4 linked regions of the Arabidopsis thaliana genome follow. The protein of the gene in region 2 interacts with the protein of the main gene of each other region in a pairwise test. Each region holds a gene or a part of one and is shown on either strand. Other genes may lie near its edges. The genes, in order: NF-YA4, GTL1, TRFL5 and AT3G07340.

What was found.
Region 1: the proteins of GTL1 (region 2) and NF-YA4 interact in a two-hybrid assay, tested with the Arabidopsis thaliana proteins (one large-scale study listed by BioGRID).
Region 3: the proteins of GTL1 (region 2) and TRFL5 interact in a two-hybrid assay, tested with the Arabidopsis thaliana proteins (one large-scale study listed by BioGRID).
Region 4: the proteins of GTL1 (region 2) and AT3G07340 interact in a two-hybrid assay, tested with the Arabidopsis thaliana proteins (one large-scale study listed by BioGRID).

Annotation. Positions count from the first base shown.
Region 1 is NC_003071.7:14,649,169-14,653,535, forward strand, and holds NF-YA4 (nuclear factor Y, subunit A4), read right to left. Parts: upstream 2,542-4,367; 5' UTR 2,396-2,541; intron 2,134-2,395; 5' UTR 2,088-2,133; coding exon 2,060-2,087; intron 1,968-2,059; coding exon 1,852-1,967; exon of another isoform or gene 1,506-1,851; coding exon of another isoform or gene 1,467-1,505; coding exon 1,383-1,466; intron 1,295-1,382; coding exon 1,130-1,294; intron 1,054-1,129; coding exon 850-1,053; 3' UTR 538-849; downstream 1-537. UniProt on the Arabidopsis thaliana protein: Stimulates the transcription of various genes by recognizing and binding to a CCAAT motif in promoters.
Region 2 is NC_003070.9:12,050,831-12,056,499, forward strand, and holds GTL1 (GT-2-like 1), read right to left. Parts: upstream 3,924-5,669; 5' UTR 3,491-3,923; coding exon 3,201-3,490; intron 3,106-3,200; exon of another isoform or gene 3,004-3,105; coding exon of another isoform or gene 2,831-3,003; coding exon 1,369-2,830; coding exon of another isoform or gene 1,336-1,368; exon of another isoform or gene 1,287-1,335; coding exon 1,029-1,286; 3' UTR 547-1,028; downstream 1-546. UniProt on the Arabidopsis thaliana protein: Transcription repressor that binds specific DNA sequence such as GT3 box 5'-GGTAAA-3' in the SDD1 promoter. Negative regulator of water use efficiency (WUE) via the promotion of stomatal density and distribution by the transcription repression of SDD1.
Region 3 is NC_003070.9:5,404,253-5,407,988, reverse strand, and holds TRFL5 (TRF-like 5), read right to left. Parts: upstream 1,965-3,736; 5' UTR 1,852-1,964; coding exon 679-1,851; 3' UTR 503-678; downstream 1-502. Other genes in the region: AT1G15730 (Cobalamin biosynthesis CobW-like protein), read left to right, coding at 104-208, 317-454; AT1G15710 (prephenate dehydrogenase family protein), read right to left, coding at 2,408-3,484.
Region 4 is NC_003074.8:2,340,329-2,345,462, forward strand, and holds AT3G07340 (basic helix-loop-helix (bHLH) DNA-binding superfamily protein), read right to left. Parts: upstream 3,370-5,134; 5' UTR 2,961-3,369; coding exon 2,292-2,960; intron 2,212-2,291; coding exon 2,059-2,211; intron 1,933-2,058; coding exon 1,867-1,932; intron 1,778-1,866; coding exon 1,709-1,777; intron 1,584-1,708; coding exon 1,512-1,583; intron 1,389-1,511; coding exon 1,173-1,388; coding exon of another isoform or gene 1,104-1,172; exon of another isoform or gene 1,082-1,103; coding exon 1,000-1,081; intron 904-999; coding exon 860-903; 3' UTR 517-859; downstream 1-516.

The sequences.
Region 1 (4,367 bases), on a different chromosome or scaffold from region 2:
TGGGAGTGAAATGATTATGCTTAGTGGATAAAAAAAAGTGGTAAACTAAGATTATTCTACCTTCTTCCCAAAACGAATCCATTTGGTCGCAGAAATCAATGTTTCAAATTCTATCCCAACACATCTAACCAATATATCATCAATGGAATGGTGAAATATGGTCTCTTTGTGAATATAAGAAAAAGGCTAAGTTTATATGTGGTAAAGAAGATAATAATAAAATGGTGTAAACAGGTCTAAAGACTTGACAAAACTAAAACAGAGCTACAAGTCGAGAAAAGAAACAATACCTCGTATAAAAAGAGAATTGTGATTGTAAAATAATGTATGTCGTGTCATTCAAAATGTATCATCGGAAGAGCATATGGTCGGATATGCATGCAATGTGTTCATTAAAAATGAAAACGAGCCTAGTGATTGACCACATTATGAGATCGGAAGAATTCTTGTTTTACTTGTCTCCTAAATTACAACGTCAAATCCGATCCTGTAGAATGCATTTCATATATATAGAAGAATACCAATAAACAGTCTAGTCTAACAATGGACTAATCCACAGTGGTAGTTATCATCAGTGTTAGTTATCCTCAAAATCATAGCAAACAAAGCTAAGAACATTAATTTACTTTCCAAAACATGAGTTCATTGGCAAAGAATATCAATTTGGTACAACAATACTTCCAATCACACTTTTCATTTCTTTGCTTAGTTTTATTTCTAATCGCTAAAACAAAGTTTACCCTAGCAAATAACCTGTACACAGCGTATCCAAAAACACTAAAGACGATGATGCCCTGAGAACATCCACCCAAAATAGAAACTAAACTTGTGGTTGTGCAGAAACCTTCCTCAAGATCTACCATTAGGACCAGAAGTAGCCATAGCTAATTTCTCGGACCTGAGGCTGGAACTTGCTTCTGAAGTGTTCTCATCAGAGGTTGCCTCCTCCTCCTCCTTGTGGTCTCCATTTTCCTTCTTGGCATTGAGAAACCGGCCACCACATCCTCTTGGCCGTCTTATCGCATGTAAATGCCGAGATTCATGCATGTATGGCTGAAAACAAGAAATTACAACTTATTGGGAAGGATTCTACCAAACAAATTACAGCACTTGCCCGCCAGGATTTTACCTTTTTTGCTTTGATGGCTCTATTTCGTGCCTCAAGTTTTGCCCGGGATTGCCTGCGCCTGAGTATACCATGGTATTGCTTTGCGTTAACAAAAACAGGTTCCTCGACTGCATCACATTGCAATGGAACTCCTGGCTGCTGCATTCCCATTAACTGCAATTGGACCTGAAAAAAAAACTTTAAAAATAAAACAAAAGCTTTTCTAAATATTCCAAACCGGAGACGTTGGGGCTGAGTAATAAATAATACATACCCCAGGATAGGGATGTGGAAGATACGCTTGCTGTGCAAAGACGCTTCTGTAGTAAGGATCTGGATACGGGTATAATCCATGTGCCTTCAATACCAACACACACAAAAACAAAAACCGTATCATCTCAGGTTAAAAAGTTTAGCATTACTTGGAATCAACATTATCATTACACTGCATCTCAAGACTGATTTTCAAAGCAATCAAAGTTTACATTCGTACGAAGTCTAAAACTGCAGAAAGGCGATGATCCCGGGACTTTCTTGCTTGAATTATCTCAAACAACCAAGTTTTGGCATTGTAAGCATCAAAACAAAACTTTTAGCATTGAAAAAGAGAATCACAAGCAAACATATTATAACCGAGAGCAAGATCACACAGAAACTAAACCAAATATCATATAATCGAAATAAAGATCACTCATTGAATGTAGCCTGCACAAATAGTTGAGATTTTGGCTGAGAGAAATTACCATGGGCTCTGAGTAGACAGAGTTTGTATCAATAGATTCCGAACTTCGTCCTGAAGGAACCTGTGGTCGGGTTTGGGAATCTGGACGTTCTTTCTTCGCATGACTTTCATTGTTATCTGACCAGCAAAACATACCACCAAGAATCAGTTAGGAAGATACAACAATAAAACGAGAGCATAATGAAAATGGTCAGAAAGAGAGACAAAACCAGAGAGCTCATGTACTGAAGAAGTCATGATTCATGAGAAGACTGTCCTAGTTACAAGTCTGAGGAACAACAAACTGAAACAACAACAAAGCACAAAAGTCAGTACCAAAGCCAAGAGTTTGAGAATCGGAATTCACTAAACCAAAACCCCAAAATCAGAATTCAATCACAACCCTAGAATCTAAAGCAAACCCAGAACAGAGAAAAACCAATCTTAACCTCTACTATCACATCTCAACATACATAGCAAAAGCATTTTCCCGGAAACGAGTAGATACAGAACAACAAAAGCTAGAAACTTTCAAAATCTGGAGGGAAAGAAACATAAGAATTTACCTGAATTATATAAAATAGTAAGCTGATTCAATCAATCTCTGGATCTTACCCTCAGAAAATTGTTAAAGGTCTCTCCTTTTTTGTTCTAACTAAGGAAGAGACGAAATGACTAACAGAGGCCTAAACGGCTAGACCCAAGAGGGACACACCATGTCGTTTTTTCAGTTCATAGCCTCCGTCCTTCTCTAATATTCATTAACATCGTGCCGTTTTCATGTTTTCCACTCACACTGTAGTGATAGGTCAACTCAGAACCACGAAAATGTGTAGGAGTGGTAAACGACACGATGTGCAACAGTGAAAAGGAGGCTAATACAATGAGGACAAGTGTCGAAACAACGATCGAGATTGTAGGAAAAGACGGGCAGATCTGAAAAGCTGCCCGAATATGTTATCGATTGTTCAACTCCACTAGTTTTGCCTGACCCTACTTGTGCCCGTTGCCCTCAAATATATCTTTCGTTGTGAGTCATCAAAGAAGCGTCGGTATCGAAACCGAAGATTCCGTTCGCTTTTGGTTTTGTTCGAATTTCAGAGACATTAAACCAGCTTTGGTATTTAGATTGGTTTGACTTCGGTTCAGTGACAAAACAAAACCTACTTAAACGAACGAGTGATGAGTGACTTCAGAAAAAAACAGTACATGATTCCATAATAAGTAACTTATTATTTATAAGTTTCCTAAAAATTTTGCCCAAAAAAAAAAAAAGAAAAAAAAAACTTTCCTAAAAAAGTATTTGCTAATTGCTTTGACTCGAAAAATAATTGAAAACTATCACTTATGTGTAAAAGACCACCAAAAGTTGTAACGCCTTTGATCACTTATACGAGGTCACAGTATTCGACAAGTAACTATAGGTCAAAATCAAGTAAGTATGCATTCGACAAGTAAGAAACGTTTAACGTAAATGAAGTGAGTGAGCAGTCATTGAACAACAAATTAGCGTTTGGAAATGGACGAAAACTAACTAGTAAACATGATTAATACACAAGTAAATGAAGTGACTGAGCAGTCATTAAATAACCATGCTTACTTAATCACCTATACGATTATATAGTCTGCTTTCATCCCTAAACTCCTTATCATCATGATTCTTGATTCGACACCTCAAAGTCCTCAAGTGCATGTCAGCACGTATAAAGTTATAAATATAAAAAAAAAAAAAAAAAGTTATAAATATCAAGCATAATTTAGCACTGAGATTAAAAGAGCATTCCTAACAAAACCAAAGATTATAAGTTCATGATATTGGAAAAACCCAACACAAGTTCATGTAATTAGGTTAAGTAGATGAGCAAGTAGTCTCTTATATATAATCATGTAGTGAGAACAGTGAGACTAACGTAGAGAGTTGTCACTTAACTCCATAGTCTATCCCCTTCTTTGAAATCAAAACTAAAGTCATTCTATTCTTGGGGACAATCTAAATCTTTTCCCCTCATACTTTTGTTTTGTGCAATAAGCTTAATGAGGTCTCTTATTTTCAGTTTTAGATTTCTATGTTAGTTCATTTGAGCACAAATCTATCCTAGTTTGGTTTTTCCTACAAAGATCGCCTCAAAAGAACGATTTTAGTTAATAAGACTTAAACCCCAACCATCAAGATCAAACCGTCATAATCTAGTTTAATCCATGATACAAAAAAAAAAAAAAAATACCACTTACACAAAGTAAAAGCAAAAGAAAAAGATAGAGATGAGACCAAATTCATAAATTTGATAGAAAGATAAGGATGAGATTCTTTTATAATTGTGAAGATAAATATACTAATTTTTATCGAAGGGGTGTTCAAAAGTATATTGATTCAAATAGATTATAGAGAAAAATTAAGTAAAACTTAGATTTAGAAATACCTCTTGTTATAGTTGTCATATAAATCTTAAATTTAACATCAATCATATTGTCAAATCTAGCTTTATTACCAAAAATATATCTAGAATAGAAATACTAAAAAATTAAAATGTCATCCGA
Region 2 (5,669 bases):
GGTACTTACTCTTTCTTACCTGTACCCATTTCCTCCATTATTACTCTCTCTATCAAAAAGATACAGAATCTTTTCTTTTTCTTCTTCTTCTTTATTTTTTTTTGGTGTGATCATGCTGTCTCAATCCATCTTTCTATATTCTCAAACCATTATTTTTATTTTGTAAATTTACACGAGTAGTTTTTTACTTTTTGATACAGTTTTTTTGAAGGTAAAGAAAAAAGTTATAGAAAAAAAACAGAGAGATGAAAAATGAGTTAACATGAGAGTGGCACGAGTCTTGTCGTTGTAAGTACAAAAGCCTGCACATGCTTTTGATTGTAAGAAAAATAAAGTTTGAAACAAAAGAACAAAACTTTGAGCGACCCTGTTTAATTGATAGTGACACCAAAAATGAATAATGGCTTATCGGATTGTTTTTGTGGGCGCCGCAAAAAGGATTAAACATAAAAACACACAGATTCTCTCTTCTTCTTCTCCTCTCAATTACTTATGGCTTTGAGTCTCAGTCAAAAAAGCAAAGTGAATAAACCAATCTTTGTCATATATCAATTCAAATAGTAGTAATAATCAGTCATATATGTTTATCTTTGTCTGATAAACTAAATGATTCTAATTCTTACCTTAAAGGAAGAAAAAATAAAATAAAGACTCTTTATTCCCCAATTAACCAATCAACAAATGTTTTAAGAGAAAAAAAAAAAGTGTGAGACTTGCTGATGAAATTACAACTCCAAAATAATCTAAAAGACCTTTTAGCTAGAGTTTTTTGTTCATGTGGGGGTTGGAAGAAGAAAACAATGAACAAGAAGAAACAAACAAGAGACAGTGAGAAAGAAAAGAACAAAAGGGAAAGAATGTGAAAAAGAATTGTATTCACTGAAAAATCGAAGATCGATGAGACCTTGATATTTCAGTTTGTGGTGTCAGATGTGTGTGTGTGTGTGTTTGTGTTTTGTGTTTTTGGGTGTTTTGTTTAGAAAACTATGCACACATAAGTACATTTTCTTGAAACAATGATTCTGATTTTACTGAACCATTGTCAAGAAAGGTGGTTCCGTATGGCCATTGCCTCCTCTGTTTGCAGGGCTTTGAAACGCAATCTCGAAAGCCGCGGACTTCTCATCCTCGTCTAGTTCTTCCTCATCCATTTCCTGATCTTCCTCTTCCTCCATGTTATTATAATTGTGAGACTCTTCAATCTTTTCATACTCACCTATCATTGATTCTTGTTGTTGTAGTTGCTGTTGTTGTTGAATCAGCTCTCTCATCACAAGGTCTTCTGGCTTCAATTCCAACAAATCATATTTCAGTTATCAAAGAACATTAAACCAATCACATTTTGACAAGGAAAAGCAAAGTTTGTACCTTTTCTGTTCCTTGTGGACTTTCCTCTATAGGCTCTTCTTCCTCAGTTGAAGCTGACCCATGAGTTTGTTGAACATTAACAAGTCCTTCTTGTGGCGGTTTCATCGCAGTGACCGGACTCTGTTTTTGGTCTTGAGGTAGACCAGAAGTGCTAGAACCACCGCCACTACCGAGTACTTTGTTGCGGTAAAGAAGATCGAGGCGGTGAAAGTAAGGACAAGTCTTAGCATCTTGAGGACGTTTCTTGTTGCTTTCTTTAACTTTCTTGTAGTATTTGTTTATGTTTTCCCATTTCTCTTTACATCTCTTAGCGTTTCTGTTGTATCCCATTCTCTTCATTGAAGTTGAGATCTCTTCCCATAGAAGTCCTTTAGGTACATTATCTTGGTACCTTGGTTCCATTCCACTTCTCAGGTTTATAAGCGCTAGAATCTCTGCCTTTGGCCATCTTGATGATGATGGTAATGATGATTGTTCCGAGCTCATGACCATCTCTTGTTGTGGTTGTTGTTGTTGTTTCTGTTCTGGTTGATGAGCGTGAGGATGAGAAGGAGGAGGAGGAGGAAGAATTTGTTGTTGTGGAATCGCCATTATTGGTTGTTGTGATTGAGATTGAGCTGTTGATAATGGTGGTTCCGCCACACGTTTAGTGACCGCGGGTGGCGGTTGATACGGTGGAGGCGGTTGAGATGACAAAGAAGGAGGTAACTGAATGGTATGGCCAGTAATTTTCTGAATCAATGAAATGATTGCGGCGTCACGAGAAGCAGAGGCGGCTCGTTCTTGAGACATGACCTCGTGTTCTCGAGCTAACCGAGCCATTTCTTGACGTTTCCAAGCTTCTTCACGATCAAGACGTTCTTGCTCTCTCTTCTCAAGAGCTTCCAAGAAACTCCTTTGCATAGCCGCTTGCTTTTGCATTACTTGTCTCACCAAACCTTCAAACAATTCCATCATTTTACCGCCTCCACCGCGGTTTCCACGTTTGCGTTTTCGGCTACTAGAACCCGCAATGTTAGCCTGATCAACGTCCATATCGTCGTCATCATCATCAGACCCCATTCCTGAAGCCGTCGATGAGCTATGAGACGAGAAAGTAACACCGGTAAATATCGGACCCATTGAAGGAAGTGGAAGAGGTGGTGGAGTAGGAGTAAAAGAGACATTATGCGTTTGAGGCGGTTGCGTTTGCGTTTGCGGTTGCGGTTGAGAGAATACGGGAAATGGAGAAGAAGAAGAAGAAGGCATGAGAATGGGATTAGCGACGGAGAGAGGAGTAACGTCGAGGGAAGATGAAGGAGGAGTAGTGTTGAGAGCTTCAAGCTGAGAGAAGAACTTGTAAGCTTTACCATCATGACGACCACCGCGAGTTTCTTTAGTACGTTTGTAATATTTCTGAACGTTTTCGAATTTCTCTTTGCATTTCTTTGAACTTCGTTTGTAACCTAACTCCAATAGCTTCCTGTTTCCAAAAACATGAAAATAATTCAGATTCTCTAGTTTTATTTTATTTTTGGTTGTCGTTATTAGCTGGAAAATTTTTATGGTTACTGTTCGATCGGATTTTTTTTTTTTTTTTTTGGAAGTAAAGAGAGTCTTGGGATTTTCAAAATCGAAAACGTCCCAGAAACTCATGAACCAACTTCTGTAATAAACAAACAGTTCTTTTAATTTTTCTTGGGGATGGTGAAGATGCTTTGATCTCGAATATATTACTATTTATATATACCTAACACTAAAAAAAAAAAGTTAACAAAAAAAAAACACATGCAAATGGATCTCTATCAAGAAACACCATTGATGAAAATGGAAGAGAAGAGAGGAAGAGAGACCTGGAAACATGTTCCCAAAGAGGAGCTTTGAGAGTAGCATCACGAAAAGTAGAATCCATATCGGATCGGATCCGAAGAAGAGCTAAAGTTTCTTCTCTCGGCCATCGATTTCCCGATGAAGAAGAAGCACTTCCTCCTCCTCCTCCTCCACCTCCACCTCCTAATCCACCGTCATCCGCGGCGGCTGAGAATCTCATAAGCTCTTCTAAGTTGTTAGCAGGAGGTCTTGAACTAATAGGTGAAGCTTCCTCCACAACTTCATTACCACCACCACCTCCTCCTTGCTCCATCAATCTTGATGATGTTTCAATCTTTTTCTACACACACACTCTCTCTTTCTCTCTAGCTCCTCAATGTTTTTTGATATAAATCTCATAAAACCATTGATGATGATGATGAGAGAAATAAGAAAGAGAAGCAGTCTTTTTTTGTTTGTTTAAACAGCAACTAGGAGGGGTCTGAAGGAGAAAGGAGAGGATTACGAGGATGATGATGATAGATAGAGAGAAAGAGAATGAAAGCAAACAAGAAGTTAATAAAGCTGAAGCCTCTTCTAACTTTGCAGCAAATTATTGTTAAACCCACTTTTCTTCACTCTCTCTTTTTCTTTATTTATTTTATTTTCTTCCTTCTTTTATATTATTTAGAAAAAAAGGTCCACATCTATTTAATTAAATCCAATTTTATGTGTATTATTATTATTGTTATAAAGCAAAGAGTAAGGAAGGCTTTAAAAGTTAAATTTGGATCCGCAAACATCTCATTGCTCAGTGATCCGATTAAATTGTTTTTGGGTAAAAATTGTGTTTTGGAGAAATATAATAAACACAAAATCATGTGCCTCCCATGTTGTTGTCCTCTCCCACCATCATGTCTAAGGTGTCCACGTGGCGTTGTCTGATTGGTAGGGTATGTGACAATCAGATTTTTGGGGAAAGGGAGGGACAGAATTGGAATTTGATAATAGTTTTTACCCGATTTGAGCTGGACCAGCCTTGACATCTTTCCCCCCACTCTCTTTCCTCTCCAATTCAACAGTTTCTTTCTCTCTTTTTTTTTGTTATTGTGTAAATAATACATTTATAGAAACATATCAAACAATAGTGTTTTAGTGATGTCAAGAAAAGAAAAAAATAGTAAGTCCAAAGCCAGTGAAATTATTTTATGAATCATACATAGTGCATAATTAATTAACATAACCATGTAATTTTAAACTCGGAACTATCTTGGCAGGTCGGATCGATAACCTGACCCATGCATTAGTTTATGCGAAGCCAAAGCCAAACCCACTCACTACCAACACTATAACAGATTTCGTTTATGTCATTTTAAACATACTTTTTACTGAATTTGCAGCGAATTTAGCATACATGAATTGATATGATGGCTTGGTCACGATAACAAAGTTGCTAGACTCATTTGGACGCTACAATTTTACAAGTGATTCTTGTATGTTGGCATAATTTGGAATCAAGAACATGCATGGTCTGCAAAATCCCATAAATAAACAAACGTGACGTCAAGTGATCTTTGATATGTTCTTTGAATTTATTTTTTTCTCCAAAAAATAAGACATTCGTTTAGTTAAATGTTGATAGCTTGACATCGCTTTTTTTTTTAGTAACTCGTTTGGTTTTTAATTAAAAATGAAACTGTTAATTTCCTTTGCACATATATATGTGAATCAAAACAAAAGTCAAGATGATGATTTTATGTATTGGTGGTAACCAGAATTTTCGACAAAAGTACAAGATAACAAACTAATAAAGAAACCTTATAACAATTAGGTGAAAAATAATGAAAATAAGTACATTTTTTGAGATAGTAAAGCTGTGGTGAAGATAGACATAAGTGATCAATCAAAAATTGAATAGCCTCATATCTAAAATTAGTTGCAAACTCAAGACATCGATGCAGACACTCATACTATCACATTATACAACTCTTTAATACCTCTCACCTACACAAACATACACAAAATAAAAAAAAAACTCATTTTCATTACCAAATCACACTCTACACAAAAACACACCGCTCATTTCTAGTTATACACAAAAAAGGAAAACAAACTATTTCCTTCTAACAACAAAATGAAAGATGCTAATTAATAATAATGGTTAGAGAAGAAGGTGAAGAAGAAGAAGAAGGTGGGCGGTGGAAGTGGAGAACTTTCTTGAAGGGGAAAGAAAGAGAGAGAGCGGCGGATACACAGCTGTCTTCTCTTCTTCTTCCCCCCACTTTCACATGCCTCTCCTTTTTCACTATATTTATTACTTATTACATGTGATATGTTCTTTTTTTTCCTAATTATACAACTTTAATATTAGTACAAGTATAATAAGAATATAATTATACGAGGTGGTAAGAACATGCTCACGGAGTTTCCTTCCTTGATTTCTGACTGAATGAATCTCTCTTTTTACATAAGAGATCTAGATCTCATGAGGGAGTTTTGATTAAGACTTTGAT
Region 3 (3,736 bases), 6.6 Mb from region 2:
TAAAACTGTAGCACCTGACGTGTTACTTATAATTAAAACGATTGTTGAGATGTGCGATTGATTACTTGCATCATCTATAACCTTAGTTTTGAAAATGGATCAGGCTAACATGTGGCTTGGGGCGCTATTGTACCAACGTAGTGAGGATATCTACAGAATGAAAGGTATCCTCTCCGTACAAGACATGGACGAGAGATTCGTGTTTCAGGTGACCAACCTTTGTCATTATTTTGATCATTTCGGATGAATTCTAAAGCATCGAAGCCTTGGGATGTAAATTATCTCTGACGTTTGTGGTTTATAATGGTTGGAACAGGGAGTTCATGAAATATTTGAAGGATCACCTGACCGGTTATGGAGAAAAGATGAAACAAGAACCAACAAGATTGTTTTCATCGGCAAGAATTTGAACCGGGAGGAGTTAGAGATGGGTTTCAGAGCTTGCTTGATTTGATTATAGGACCAAATATTTAAAATCATTCCATTTTGTAATCAACTGGTCAATAGATTTTTGAACAAGAAATATCGTCTAAAGCTTGACACTAACTACAAGAGCCTGAATCAAGAACATATTAAAGCCTTCACCGTACAAAAAGTGAGTCCCTTTCTAACACAAGCGGCAAAACTACACAAGATCCCAAAACCAAAATGCCCATAAGTTAGAAGGTAAGATTCCTACTACTGACGACCAAGTAAATTCCTCCACTTATCCTTCAAATCCACCTCGCTCCTATCAGCGAAAACAACAGGGTATGAATTCTTGATATCTTTCCATGATTTTCCATATTCTTTAACTCCTTCCCTCAAAGCTGCCACTTCTTCAGAAGTCCAGAATTTCATTGGCCTTCTGGGACGCGGTCTTTCTAATCTTCCTTTCTTCAACGGTGATACATTCAGAGGTTCCGGGGTTGGTAGATGAGGCCTGACTCTTCTAGACGATGATGTTCCCTCACTATCTTCTGCATCAGTCCTATTTGCCCCATCAGGCTGAGGAGTGACATCAACTGAATGCTCCATTGCATTGTTAGGTTCTTGATCTTGCCTTGTTATAGGGTCGATGAGTCTTTGAATCTCCAACAAAAAATCCTTAAGCTCTCGAGCTACCAACATTTCCCCCTTATTAAGACTTGGCTCGTGTTCCTGTTCATGTTCATTCACCTTACCAACCCCATCAGGATTCTCCACACCACCCACTTCTTCAACATCATTAGCTTTCTCTCTATTACCTCCTCTCCGGGAAGCATATGGTGAATCCTTACGCTTAAGAAACCTCTTTCGAGCTTCTGATTCAAGAGAAGAACATCCAAGTAGTGCCCACTGCTCTTTGAGAAGCTGATTAAGATGAGAGATGGCATTGTACCTGATGTTAGTCTCACGAATCTTCTGGTAAATCTCAGGTTCCTCAAACGCCTTGTTTAGATCACTCTCCCATTTCAACAACTCACGAGTCACCAAGTCGCTCTCTTTCTCCTTCAATGTCCCAATCCGATTCCTCCAAATCCTCTCAAGGGCATCACCGAAGAAGCCATCCGAAGCATTCACTGGCCACATAAACCTAAGCGTGCATTCCACAGCAGTCCAGCAATACGCAGATTTGAGAGATCCCATGATAACCGAATGTTCCTGTAACAGAAGCTTCTCAAGAATTTCGAGGAGATCAAGCATTCCTTCGTCTACGGTACCTTGAATCATGGAATTGGAGATATCCCGCAAAACAGCAGTTAGCTTGAGTTTTACACAGTCGTCGGAATCTACTGGTTTCAGAGCCGATAACAGTGGAAAAGCGTAAACCCTAGGATTTAGTTGGCGTCGGAGGAAAAATTCAGCTACCCATTTGTCCATCACTTCCATTTCCAAGACTTTGCAAGTAAAAGATGCGAAAACCCGCGATCAGTTTTCGCCGTCGGTGCGTGGTTAGGGTTACAATTTTGGGAAGAGGAAAAGCTCCGACCAACTATGGTGGCAACAACACACGTGTGAATCATTCAAATTTAAAATGTGTTTTTTTCTTTTAATTAAATAAGACGAGACATTCAAGCGGCCCATTATATAATCGGCCCATAACGAAACGATGTTGTCCTGATCCGAATCGGGTGGGTGACCCGAGATCATTGGAGACAGAGAAAAACAGTAATGACTTTTGAGCAATACAATGTTGATCCAATACAAATATGGCCGGAGAAGGAGACAATTTGTCCGTATTTGTTTCCGGCGACCAGAGGGATAAGCATTTCCACAGATACATTTAGAGAAAAAAAGACAAGTTTATTGATACCAAGCCAAAAGAGACCCCAACATACATATGAACACACCAAAATCCCTTTTTTATTTTCCACTCTTGACGTTTTCCAAAAAAGTCACAACTTTTTATTTTTGAATCTAGCATAATCCAATCAAACTTGTGATCTTAAGATGATGATGATGATGATGATGATGATGATGATATATCATTCATAGGAACAACACCACCATCATTGAGCAATTTCTGCTCAGTTTTCTTGGGCGATTGAACCTCCCCACCAAACATTTGCTTCCTGTATTGCTGATGTAATCTCCCAAACAGCTCCTTCTTAACAGACTCAAAAGCCATATCCAATCTCTCCAACTGTTCAAGAGCATTCGGATTATACATAAACAAACCGTAGAAAAGCTCAAAGCTATCACTCGATGTGTTCTCCACCAAATCCAACAACGTCTCATAACCTTTGGTGTTAATCGGCGAAGACTCAACTCCATATTTCTCCAAAACCCTTCCCATAGTATGCGTCACGAATTGCGATCCAGCTGCGTAATAATCATGCTTCTCACAGCTCATTTCAACCATCTTGCAACCTTCATTCTCAAAAATTCTTAGAAACTTCTCACACCTCTCTTGTCTTGAAGCTGCGTCTCCGATTCTCACCTTATCGTAGACAAAGGGCAAGCCAGACCAAGAATGCTTACCACTCTCAGGTCCAAACATTGGATGAGTACAGAGAATGTCAAACTCCTTAGGAAGGTATTTAATGAAGAGGGCTTTTGGGAATTCCTTAACGGAGAGAACATCGACGAAGAGTGTGCTACGACGGAGACGTTGGAAAGGGAATGATCTGAGGACTGATTCTGTGGAGAGGATTGAGGTACAGAGGAGGACAACGTCGGGATGTTGTTCACAGAGATCGTGAGGGTTATCGAAGAAACGAGCTCCGATTGAGTTTGCGGCGTCGGAGTAATCGGAGCGGGAGTGAGTGATTAGATCGTGGCCGTGTCGAATTAGGGTTTTGGAGAGGAATTGGCCGAAATTGCCGAAACCCAAGACGGCGATTTTGAGAGCAGAGGATTTGCGGTACTCGGATTTGAGTTGGGTTTCGTAATCGAAGATTTGGGCGGCGTCGATTGCTCGAATTCGAAGAGATCGCGGCGGGGAAATGAGGAATGTGGGTGAATTGCGGCGGAGATTGGGTGGAGAAATGAGGGGTTTCGCCGGAGAGAAATGGAGTAGCATTGTGAGTAGTGTTGATTGAGTTTTAGCTCCAAAGTTGGGAGCTTAGAGAAATCTGTGAGAATAGAAGAGGAAGAAGCGGTTGCGCCAAAGGAGGAAGAAGATGCGAGCGAGCCTCAAAAATAAACGGATCAATTTTATGTCGTGGCCTAAACGTGGTGATGCTGATTGACCCAAGAAAAACAAAATGCTAAATACACAACAACACAAGGACCATAATGGAAATAAAAAATTGAGGTCAAAATTAAAAGTCGT
Region 4 (5,134 bases), on a different chromosome or scaffold from region 2:
TCAAGCTTAGCTAAGATTTGATGTTTGTGAATATGCTGTAGTACCTATTATATTTGTTGGAAATAGTACATTTGAGCAAATTACACACATGTAATTTAGCACAAAGATAGTTGTCACGCTATGTAACTCCTGCCGAAAAAAACTCAATACCAACTTTTTGGTTTCAATGTTAAATCGTATTCCAACCAAAAACTGCATACTAACATTTCATACGCTTTAACAAATAATTAAATACCTTTTCCAAAAATAAATAAGGAAATAATACACATAAATAAACTACAAAATCTCACCTAACATGCAGAAGCTATATAGTTTTGATAATTGAAATAAGAAAATTTACTTAGTATCTATCAATTTTTGCAACACACTGTTGTTTTTCCTTCACCAAAAATGTGTATTTTCTAGGAATGATCTGTCCTTGTTAGCTTCTTATCACATACAAACTCTTTATAAGAAAACCGAATTATTTTTTCGTTTTCAAGAGTTTGATGTTTTTTTGTTACAAGAACTGAATGGGTTTGATAAAAACAGTCTTGTTGTTCGGAAGAATTATAGCTATAGTACTTATAGTGGGGTTAAAACATACAATGATATTAAATCCAAACAAGAAAAGTTTAAAGAATCTGATAAGAAGAAGAATAGCGGATAACAACATGACAATACAATTGAGCACCACAAATGAATCGGAAGGATAAAAAGAAGAAGTTATGTATATGAAGATGATTATAGAAATGAATTCGCATATGGTGTGGTCCAATTCAAATTTCTTGTTATGTACACCCATCAATCCTTTTCTTACTTTCTATCCTCGAGACCTTTAAAACGCCAATATTTTTGTAAAAATGCATATAGTGGTTGATCAAAGTTCAGCTTTCATGTGCGATGGTACTTGGTTTGATGAACCTGCATATATAATAGTACAATTTATACATATCATATCTAAACGGTCCTGCCTATATAATGAAATGGAAAGAAAAAATATGATTTAAATATTCTTACCTTGGTTCAATTCTTGGAGACGGTTTTGCGCAAAACCCATATGAATAATGCTATGTAAATCATCTTCGGAAAATGTTGAATACTAAAAACAAAACCAAAAAGGGTTAAGACCGCTTCAAATTGAAGAGAAAAAGAAAAGAAAAGTGATAGAAGAATGTTTTAGAAAAGGAAACCTGAGAAATAGAGTCAGTGAAATGAGCAAGTGTTGGTAAGTGAGAAATGAAGCTTCTAGTTTCAGAAGTTTCCAAAGGGTTTATTACGTTATTAGAAGAAATATCAGGGTTCAATTGCAAATTTTTGTTGTGATGATCACCCAATAACGTTTCTGCTGAAGAATCTAATTGAAGTACTTGTTGATGATGCATTAGATTGTTGCTTGAAGGAAATATCTGTCAGAAAACAAAAGAAATTAGTTTAAACAAACACACGATTGGTTCACAAAGACAAAAAAGTAATTATTATTACAATAATTGTCAATTAAAATTACTATAAATGTTGTGACGGTGACTTACATCCTTAGACAAGAGAGCGTCCATGTTAAAGTCCAGCCTGGTGTTCACTGACGATAACTTCATCGACAAGAACTGCACCATATTTGAAATTAAAATTAAGAAACAAAAATTATTCGAAGTCGTGTAGTTGTTTTAAAAAGTGATTATGAAATAATGGAAAGAGTTTAAAGTAGACCAATAATCTAATGAGTAATTACCTCAACTTGTCGTTGCAATGATTGGACATAGTTTATAATTTCATCCAACATCAGTGCTTTTCCAGTAACCTTTAAAAAGTAAATTTGTTATTGCTCTAATCACAACTATATTAGTACAACTAAAAACGAGTTAATTAGTTGTTTAATCAAACTCTCACCTTGTTGCATCCAGGGACAAGATCTTGAAGCAGCTTCATTCTTTCGCTTATTTTCTCTCTTCGAACCTTTTTAATATCGAAATCACAACAACACATTGAATACAAAGCATGATTAATTCAACTAATCAGGACGTAATTAAACATTAAGATTAAAATCAATAAATTTGGTAAGAAAATAGGAAATTGACTGACTCGTTCGGCGAGACTGTGACTATCGGTGGCTTGGCCTCGTCGAGCTCTAACATGAATGTAATCTTTGTAAGGATCAATTGATTTAGTTTTGTCTCCATTTTCTTCTGATTTTTTGCATCTCTTTGGATCAGAATCTTCCTTCTCTTCAATCTCCTGATAATCAAACTAAAATTAGTATTTGTTTAAACCAAACAAAAAATGGGTTTATTCGAATGTGAAGCTTCATTATGAACCTTTGATGATGAAACTGCAGAAGGAGAATTCTGCTTGGATTTAGTTTTTCTTTTCCGGGAAAGTTCACCGGACGATTCGCCGGCGGGAACATGAGACGCAAGAGGCTTAAAAACTGGGCTGCTTGATACACGTGGCATTTTCTCATTGGTTGTGATGGGTGGTTCGTTATTAATCGGAAACGGCGAGTTTGTTCTGCTGTTAAAACTCCGGCTACCAAAACACGAGAACCTCGCCGCTCTCTCAGCGAATCCCGGGTCGCCGGACAGTTCTGCCATCGGCGTCGTCGTTTTCGTCTCCATCATACTTCCAGGCGGTGGAGAGCTCATCGGAGTTGCGTAACACGAGTTTCCATTGCTCGCCGTAATTCCATAGATATCGCCGATATTACCCAGTTTCCCGATGAGCTCTCTCATAATGACATTTTCTCCACCTACTCCGCCAACCGAAAAGTTTGAATTTGACGGCGTAGGAGAAGAGACGAGTGAGCTCAGAGCCGAATCAAAAATGCTCTGTTCCGTTGACTTTTCCCAAAACAGATTGCGACTGAGACTTGGATCCACTGGCTGAGTCTCCATTGAAACCCACTTAAGCATCGCCGACGAAGAAGACGGTGACGTCATCACCGGCGGATGCGAAACTCCTGCATTCATAAACAGCTCGTTCTCCATGAAGCTCCTCAATTCTACGGTACGGACTACGGAAGATGAAAATCAAAAGTATATATTCGAATTCAGGTAAAAAAATCCTAAAGTAAGCGTGTGATTAATTAAAACCAGATCAAAGATTCGTCCAATAGAAGATAAAAGTTTGTAATTTTCTTAAAGTGAAGAACAGAGGAAAAGGGAAGCTCGTTAATGGGCAGTAATGAGGAGTTTATATAGTTGTTTAATAAATTTATATTAATAAATTGCACCAATCAATGACTTTCTTTCTAATAAATGGACAAAAAATAAAGTAAATATTAAATAAAAATTTCTGTGTCGGACCGGACCGTAACGAGAGGAGGACTTTCGACGTTAACACGATATCGCTAATGAAACGTCTTTACCAAATGAGATAATTGGAGAAACAAGCTTCTAAATACAGTATAAAATAAGTGTGAAACTATTAAATAGTACGAAACAATCTTAACGTTCTTTAAGATGTCAAAAACAAATCTGGTACTAATATCAAAAACCGGTAAACGAATAACAAACTACTTTTGACGAATGGGTTCCCTTGTCGAAGTTCCTTAACCATCGCCGGTTCTTTTGTTGATTTGTATGTCAACATGTTTAACTCTTTCTTTGTTCGAATCAAGAAAAAGACAAGGAAAAATCTTGATTTTATAACATGTTTCAAGTAGGCAGTTTCAATGAGGCAATTTGGTTTGTTCATGCATGTAAGTGAGCTAAATTTTTAGTTAGATGGTTTTATGTTCGTTCTTGCATCATGATAGTCTCTTGGAAATTACTCTCATATGGTCATGTGGATCATACGGTTTGGTTAGAAGTAGAACTTAGAAGGATTTGCCGTTCTGTATAGATTAGTGCTTGACTTGGTGAGATTTCTAAATTTCTAATTGACCATATTACGTATATTGCTAGTCGTCTAAGAATAAGAAAATCAACATAATACATCAATAGATATATCTAATATTTAAGTTTACAGAAAGATACAAATAGATGTCCGAGTTTAATTGAAAAGTTCATTGGTTTCAAACATGTCCCAGATCATAGGTTTACGTTTGTGGTGACACGTTTCAATAACATATCACCGACTTTTTACGTAAGAAAAATATGACATATACTAGTATAAGATAACCTTAAGCGCCGTCAAAAGGATAATATACACGTTCGGCTTTTCTCCCATACAGCTACATTCAAATTCGGATCAGATCTCGGATCACACAAATAATACTTCCCACGCCTACGTCACGCATGATGAAAATAGTGGTCAATAGCCCAACATCGACTATAAACACTACAGAGATTATTATTTAGCTGGGCTTTTAACTTCTAACATAAGTATGGGCTTTCAACTTATAAGCCCACTTACGAATTTAAACGGGATCCATCCTCGGGAGAGAATTGGAATGGGCTCCCCTATAATATCAATTATCTACAACTTTTTTTTGCTAAAAATTATCTACAACTTATAACATCGATTTAGAATTTGATAAATAGTTAAATACTTATAAATCTCTGGATCGGGTAATTTAATGATGAATAGATAACATCGATATTTTCATATTTTGGTGACAATATTCGCATAATTGTTCGAAAGAATAAAATATATACATCACCACTTACACAAACAATTATGTAGGTGATGCATAATTGTTTGCCAAAATTCCTGTTTGTAATACATTATGTACAACATATGTTATTTTCTTTACCCAAAAAAAAAAAAATACATTATATATAACATGGTTTAGGAAAGATGCTTGATTTTCGTTTAAACCGGCTTTTTGGCATTTTATCCCAAGTACTTTGTTCTAAGACGAGCAGAACTTTCACGTATTCATTAGAATTATGAATAATCCATTGACTCTTCGCGTTCAGATAAAATTTCAATAGCATACAAAAAAACGGATTTGGGTCTTTTATTAATAATACTACTACTATACTGCATGGGGCGACGAGCATAAATAGACACCAAACAACAAAACCCACTTGTCATGTTCTTGTTCTTACAAAAGATTATTAGATATTGTCACTTGTTCGTTACCTCATTCTAAAGAACTCTTCACACCTCCCAAATCCCAACTTTTCCTTCCATTAAATTAAGAAAAGTTGTTCGGTCAGGTTCTGTTTCACTCGAATATGAGTTTCAGTTGGTGTATTTTATCCCCTCTTCACTT